Linked DNA regions of Tribolium castaneum. The protein of the gene in region 2 binds, or shares a complex with, the protein of the main gene of each other region. Links are inferred from orthologs where the notes say so. Each region holds a gene or a part of one and is shown on either strand. Other genes may lie near its edges.

Region 1 (3,756 bases), about 26 Mb from region 2:
TATCGGGCGAAGAACGCCTGGTTTGTATAATTTGATTCGATTTTGGGACCAATTTTCAAAAACGCAACTTGGCCACACTGTAGGGCGGCGTTGCCGGGTTGTGCCCTGGCGCACTTTCCGCAAGTTTATCGAACAGCTGGTAGGATTACGTAATTTGCGATAATATCCAACAAATGTGCTTTGTTGTCCCGATTAGGGAAAAAAATCAGTGATAAGTGGTACAGGGACTTGGAAATAGGCACCAAGTGGGGTCGCTGATGTGGCAATGCCATCTAGGTATATTGTATCAGAATGGCACAAACTACGTAAATTTGTATTACAAGAAAACAAAATAACTTGTTTTTAGATGTTCACACCTTTAATAAATTTTTTTGGTAAAGTTGTCTTTTTCGCCTATTTTTTCTGTGATGTCCGAAAAGGGGTGATCAGGTAATAATCCGTTTTGACCTGATAAGATGCGGTGCCGAATTTCTAGGACTCGAACACGTAAAGAGAGGGTGCCCGGTATTTGGGGATTCAATAGTGCCCAATTTATGCACGCCTGTTATCATAACTCGCCTGTTTTGGTAATAATATTGTCCGATTTTGGGAAATAGAAAATAAAGATGCAATAAATGATAATTTACTGGACACCCTTCACAGAATTCTTGTGAAAAACATTTTAACAAAACACATGGGCGGTTTATGGTTTATGGTTTACGGTCCTTTTAAGCAAACGCCGCCTGATGCGCAAAATAGCTTTAAACCGTTTGTTGTCGGTGGAGAAAAGGAGAGCTAGGGATCATAAACTAAATGAGGGGTACGTACATTTCGTTCATGAAAAATTATTTAAAATTGGAACTCGTAGTAAACGATTCTACCGAAAATTCTTTTCACTTATCACACAGTTGTGTAATTATAATTAATGAAAACAGTGATAGTACCAAGTTGATTGTAGTCTGACTGTTCATGTAAAGCTCTAATAAATTGAGTATAAATGATAATCTGTTAGCAGGCCCGGTAATTCAGCCTGATTTATTTCCGATTTTAATTCAATTTCGGATATATTTTTTAACATTGTTCCGACAACTAAAAGGCCATAATTTTATTTTTGAAAAATGTCTTTTTTATTGTTGAATTGGTGGTCAAAAGGGCATTGTGTGACAAAACCGATTTCGGGGTGAAATGGGGCGATAGTGCATTTGCGGAGCTATAAATATTGAAATTAGGTGAAAAAGTGGGAAAAATTAAGAAGCAATTTGTGGTAAATAATTGAGTTTTTCGCTATTAGCAAAGTGACTTTCTTAAAATGTCATTTTTAAGAGGGTGTTTAGTGTTTTTTCGGATTTTTATTTTATTAAACGGTTTCAAAGCTGACAACCAAACATACATCTACGCAAATTGAAACGTATTTTGCTAGTGTGAAACTGGCTTCATGTTCGGGTTTCTTCGGAATTTCGAGGAGCTGGTTTGGGGAGCTGTCTTCACACAAATTTGTTTTGGGTTTTTCGTGTTGGAGTGTTGGCAGTTGAAAAACCGTTGACTTACGAAGTGACAATTCAAATTCGAACTTATCACAAGTTGAAATTGTGCAAAAGTGTTAAGTCGGAGTGAAGTGTTTTTGTTGTAAATATGTCCCAAAGGAAGGCCCCCGTGTGCCAAAACAAGGAGAACAACGTTCCGCGCGCCGCGGCGAAAAAGGGCCCCCCGGCGCAAAAGGGGGCTCTCTCCGAGAACAAGGCCCAGAAGGGGGCTGCAAGTGACACGGCTCAGGAGAGTTCGAAGGGGCGGCGTTGGACCTTGGCGGACTTCGATATCGGGAAGCCCCTCGGGCGTGGTAAATTCGGAAACGTGTACTTAGCTCGCGAAAAACAGTCGAAATTTGTCGTTGCGCTTAAAGTGCTGTTCAAAAGTGCGATCAAAGACTTCAATAACGAGCACCAAGTGCGGAGGGAAATCGAGATTCAGTCGCACTTGAGACACAACAATATTCTGCGAATGTATGGCTATTTTCACGACGAGTCGAGGGTCTACATAATACTGGAATACGCCCCCAATGGTAAGCCCCCACGTACAGTGGTCCAAACTGCTCAAAACCCGCCAGAAATTGGTGAAATCATTAAATTTCATGTGTTTTATTAACAAAAAAACACATTTAAATTGGGGCTCAATAAACAATGAATGAAAAACAAGAGTTATTCGGAAAAATCTTCTAAAAGAAGAGCCTTCTGAAAGTTGCAAACTAAGCATTTTTGAATGATTTCAGTAAATGGTTGAGAAAGATTTATAAAATTTGTGGGTTAGTTATTACATTAAGTTAAATGGGGAACAAAGTTACTACTAAAAGCTGTCTTAACTAAAATAAAACCATTAACTACTATTTTAAAAAAACGTCTTGAGGTCAATACATTGGATACGGAAAAGTGGCTGACTATTATAAACTAAATAAAAACAATTTAAAACAATAAAATTTGTTTTTTCCATTCCCAAAAAAAAATATTTTCAATGTTGAAAAATCTGGAATGACGAGAGTAAGCTTTGAATTATCAGTGTTAAGAAGACTTTAAACTAAAATTTTTAATTTATGGTGCACTGAATTTGAAGGCAAAAAAATGTTGGTTTTTGTTACCAAATTAAATGAAAATGTATTTTCACTGTTTATTTGTTATGTCAGTAAAACTATTTCGCATTGTTTTGTAATATTATATTATATGAAAGTAGATTTAATTTTTATACTTTTTTTTACGAAATTTATTTTGATAAAACTTTGTAAATCGGTAAAAAAAGTCATGTCATATATACGAGAAATTATTATATTGAAAGTTATTACTAAAGTTCGGATTCCTAGCATTTTGCTAATTAAGCTTTTCTTTTTCAAATGAACCAATTTTCTTAACTTTTATTTGTCAGTTTGGCTAAAAAACTATGCTTTTATGCCAAAAAGCGTTTTTTCTGCTATTTTTATGCTAAGGTTGATAATTCTCAAGTTTTTTCAGTGTTAATATTATATAATAGTTTTAATTTTTCAAACTAATGAACATTTTGAGACGTCTTGGCGAAAAGTTTGACGAATGAAATTCAACAAAGTTGAAAACAGAATTTTTAAAAAATCGTCCTCGAATTTTTTTTGTACTAACAATTTTTTTAATAAAGGTTTGTTTTTGTAAAATATTTGATAAATAAATTTTATTTTGAATAGCACTGAAGTTTTCTTTAAAAAATGAATTAAAAAACTAGTTTTCTCCATTCATTCGAATCAATATTTTCATTGATAAAAAATCTATGGAATGACAACAGAAACACCTAAGCTCGACGTTTTTGTGATTTTATAAAAAAAACAAAAAAAATGGTTTAGACTACAAAGTTGAATGAAAAATTTATATTTATGAGTTTTTTGACATATTATTTATTTGTTGTATTTAAATGTGTAATATTGTGTATAAAAGCAGATTCATTTTTCACTTTTTTATTACTAAATCTATTTTTGTTAGCTATATATTGTTATTATTCTTACTATTATTTTGGGTTTGAAAAAAATCAAGGTGGCTGCGCTATTTAGAATTTAAATAGTCTGTTTTTTGGCATTTATCAAAATCTAACGAAAAAAGGGACCTTTTAACACAAATATTTTTTTTCAATTAAAATTAAAATTTCGAGTTTTTAGTTAAAAAAAAGTGAAAAAGAACATTTTTTTGACCTAATTTTTTCTGGTCGAAGACGTGCTTCATGTTTTCCTAAAAACGAAGAATTTTAAATTTGTTGATAAAAAACTAATTA
Region 2 (3,756 bases):
GCGCCGGTAAAGAAGGAAGTGTAAAGGAATCGTGCTGTTTGTAGCTAATTAGTTGTAATGTGTATTTGTACAGTTTATAACAGAATAAAATAAACCGAATAAAGTAGCAAGTAAAACGTAAAAATAATATCACCTTAAACAATTACAAATTATTCCTCAATATTCTCCTTGTTCCTGATCCTGGAACTGAACTTCGGACTGACCGGGTTTGTAATTTTATTCGCCGGCTTGATGGTTACTTCCTTGTACTTTTTAATTGGTTGCGCTTTTAACTCCGCCTGTTTTCTCAACTTCAACTTCTCCTCTTCTTCCTGTCGCCTCAGTCTCTCCTCAATTTCCCGTTTTTGAGCTTCAAGTCTCGCTTCCTTAGCTCTCACTGCCTCGTCAAACTCGTGTCGCTTTTCAAGTCTTTGATTGGTCGCAAATTGAAACTCTTTGATCACGATTCCATGATCCTCGCACTTTTTCGGCTCAAAAGGTTTCATAGTTAAGACTTTGGCGGGCCGTGCTTTGAAAGTGCCAAAATCCAATTCTTCAGTGCTGCGTTTCTACAAAAAAATACAATTTAAACTAAAACCAGAAATTCAAAATTTTGGGGTAAAAAGAATAACGGGGTTAGACTACTATTTATTTGTAAAAATAATAAAATGTTGAGCATTCTGAAAAGATGAGGAAAACTAATGAATTCATGAGAAATTTGCGAAAAATAAAGCATTATTGAAACCCACTTAAGAGACATTTACTTTATCTTCATTGGGTGAGGGAACAATTTAGCTAGAGATCTTACGATTTTTTTTGAGGATTTAATTCTCCCTTGCTCCCTTACACTTTTTTGCTTCTTTAACCATATCCGCATCGTTTTGGAAAATATTTTTTTTAACTAGTTTTCGGTAAAAACTTCAAACTCACAAATGATTTTGACGATCCAGGATCGCTGATATTTTCCTGGCTGTTGTTCCTCGACCTCAGTATAGATTTCGGAACTGGCCTAGCGTGGAACTCACGAGCTTTCTTCTCTTCTTCCAGATATCTATTAATCAATTCTTCTTTCTTCTTCATCAGTTTCTTGTCGCGTTCTTCGAAACTAAACGGTTTGACATGTGTGTTTGTAGGTTTGCATGGTTTTGGCGCTTCTTCCTGCTTCGTTACTTTATTTGGTGTGGTTCTGGCAATTTTTTTCGAAAAATTGGGGGACTCAGGCTGGGTCGGGGGCTGTCCCTTGGGTATGACTCTGAATGGATTGTGCAAACTTTTAGGCACAGGTTGTGCCTTGAATGAGGGGGCTTTATCAGGCTCATCGGGCTCGGGCTTCTTCCTCACTTCAGTCAAATGGAAGGGTTCCGCAACAGTGGGGCACTTTTTATCGACTGGGGGCTTCATGGGGCCCCTTAGGACTTTCTTGTTCACCGGATTTGCCTTGATCTTGAACCTTGAGATTATTAATTTATGAATACACTTTTTTGTTTGCTGTGCACTTACTTTCTGGCTTCTTCAAGCTCCCTCTCTTCTTGCTCTTCCTTTGAGAGTGCTGTCACTGGACGCACACGAGCGTTTGTGAGAAATTTGGGCGTTTTTGGGATAGTTGGACCTAGTGGGGCTTTACTGTTTAGGGGTTTGGAGCGGAAGCGTTTGGGTGTCCCAGCTTGGAATTTATTGACAGCCTCTGCTAAAGTCATGGACGATTGTCGGGCCAAGTTATCGTGCGATGTGTAACGTTTAGGTTGAGCTAATCGATTGATGTGTTCCTAAAAAATTAATTATACTTTTGATTTATCGCTAACTATAGAATTACCTTTGAGATTGTTTTTCTGCTGTTCAAGGAACAAGCAGAACTCGGCCTGGGCTCTGCAAGTTGGTGGTTATTTAGACATAACTCATCCATGGCTCGACTAAAATAACTGATTAAAATCGCAACAAATGACTTCATGAGACTTACTCGAGTCCGTTTTGATTTGGCACTTTCTTAAGACGTAAATCATTCATACTCAAAGACTTCCGCATCCGACTTTTGAGATAAATAGTCGAGCTATTCGTCTCTACAAAAAAAAACATTTATCACACCTAAAAACCCGAATTTTACCAACACACTTGTATCCTCCATAGGGGAGAAGAAATAGTCACTTTCGGGATCAGACACCTCCCTTTCAAAAACCTCTCCATTGCATTGGAAATTTTCTTCCAGGTCCTGGCCTAAAGGGCCGTTCTCTTCTACATTTTCTTTAAAAAACAACTATTGAAAACTACAAAACACATCTGCCAAACTCACCATCAAAGAAAGAATCACTGTTTAGTTCGTCGTGTTCTTGAGTGAAATCGAAATACTGTCGGGCGTTAAAAGCAAATGCATCGGCCATGATTTCAGCAAAATAATTACCGGCTTTCAGGCCACAAAAACAAAGTTTGAGATGAACTAATCTGTGCAACCGTTACTGAAGTTTGAAATGGTGAATTGCGCGCTTGCGTCAAAATCGGGCCTGTTGATTGGTTGGTTCAGCTATTGTTCTGTCAAGGATTTTTGTTCCCCGAAATTTAAAAATAAGCATTTGAATGGGCCTAAAACTAACCATGACTAAAACTAAATTAAGATTTGATGTTTTTTGGCCAATGCATGAAGCTGCATAGCCACATTATTTAATCATATCTATTGGTGTTGCATATGCAACTAAATATACACGCCCGTGATTGTTTATGCCATCTTGTAAAGTAATTAACTATTAATTAATAATTTCTAATTATGGAGCGCTAATTTTGATTATTTTCTAACTTGGAAATGAGGTTTTGGAAGCAGTCTTACCACATACATTTTTTATTAGAAAAAAGAAGCGTATTGGTGGGAATTTCTTTGAGGTAAAGTAAAATAAAAAATCTTCGCAGTTATATATTGTGAAAATTTATTTTGTATAATTAGCTGAAATGCAACAATAAATGAAACATAATTTATAATTGTAAATAAAAAAATTCAAAAAGCGTTGTCACTGTTCTCGGAACAAAGAATTATATCAATTTTTATAAATTATTATTAAGGAGGAAGCCTAGCCGGAGCCACTCAATAGTCATAACATAATTTTGTATATAGGATGGTCTTCTAGCTCAGTTAATATTAAATTTCCAGTTTTGATATTTTGTAGATGTTTTTCATACTCTAGGACACATTTCAAAAAAATATTTTTATTATACAGAGCATCTCAAAAAGTATGACGCTATAATAATATTGTTTTACACTTTCAGGACTAAAGTTGGTACTTTAGTCCCTGTTTACAGTGATTAAAGTGGGTCATTTGTTCCATAGGGAATAAATAAACTCTCTAGGGGGTTCAGTTCATATTTCATCCTTAGGGAATAAATGACTGACGTTAGTTCCTATAGACAGAAACTAAAGTATATATTTTAATCTCGGAAGTGCAAAAAAAATAGCGTATATACCTCGGGACCAAAGTACTAAATTTTTTGAGGGCTTTGTCCTCGAGGCAACAAACTCCACTCGCGGAATTAAATGCTGTACTTTAGATCTTCTATGTATAATATACTATTTAACGGCATCATATTATTTTTTTGTGCTCATACTTTTTTAGTTTTTTACATGTTCCTAAGTTTTTTTCAAATCGGCTCAGTTAATTTAATTTAATTTAATTAATTTAATTAATTTAATTAATTTAATTAATTTAATTAATTTAATTAATTTAATTAATTTAATTAATTTAATTAATTAAATAAAGTAAAATCAAAATTCGGTTTTACTTCTTTACGTTAAAAAAT

What was found. Proteins that work in one complex are often made in the same cells at the same time.
Region 1: the proteins of targeting protein for Xklp2 (region 2) and aurA are in contact, whole or in part, in a crystal structure (PDB 3HA6), measured with the Homo sapiens proteins. The link is inferred for Tribolium castaneum from reciprocal best matches to the Homo sapiens genes TPX2 and AURKA. Residues at the interface, in NP_036244.2 of Homo sapiens: Gln3, Lys5, Ser6, Ser7, Tyr8, Ser9, Tyr10, Asp11, Ala12, Pro13, Ser14, Asp15, Phe16, Ile17, Phe19, Ser20, Ile31, Asp32, Trp34, Phe35, Glu36, Lys38, Ala39; in NP_001310232.1 of Homo sapiens: Lys125, Arg126, Gln127, Trp128, Asp132, Glu152, Gln154, Ser155, Phe157, Leu159, Lys166, Glu170, Gly173, Glu175, Leu178, Arg179, Val182, Glu183, Ile184, Ser186, His187, Leu188, Arg189, Tyr197, Gly198, Tyr199, His201, Val206, Tyr246, Ser249.

What each region holds. Positions count from the first base shown.
Region 1 is NC_087394.1:2,112,252-2,116,007, forward strand, and holds the start of aurA (aurora kinase A), read left to right. Parts: upstream 1-1,526; 5' UTR 1,527-1,611; coding exon 1,612-2,038; intron 2,039-3,756. UniProt on the Homo sapiens protein: Mitotic serine/threonine kinase that contributes to the regulation of cell cycle progression.
Region 2 is NC_087394.1:27,765,382-27,769,137, reverse strand, and holds targeting protein for Xklp2, read right to left. Parts: upstream 2,476-3,756; 5' UTR 2,355-2,475; coding exon 2,267-2,354; intron 2,218-2,266; coding exon 2,089-2,217; intron 2,037-2,088; coding exon 1,937-2,036; intron 1,890-1,936; coding exon 1,793-1,889; intron 1,746-1,792; coding exon 1,480-1,745; intron 1,430-1,479; coding exon 910-1,429; intron 549-909; coding exon 150-548; 3' UTR 38-149; downstream 1-37. Other genes in the region: PIG-M (GPI mannosyltransferase 1), read left to right, coding at 1-24. UniProt on the Homo sapiens protein: Spindle assembly factor required for normal assembly of mitotic spindles. Required for normal assembly of microtubules during apoptosis. Required for chromatin and/or kinetochore dependent microtubule nucleation.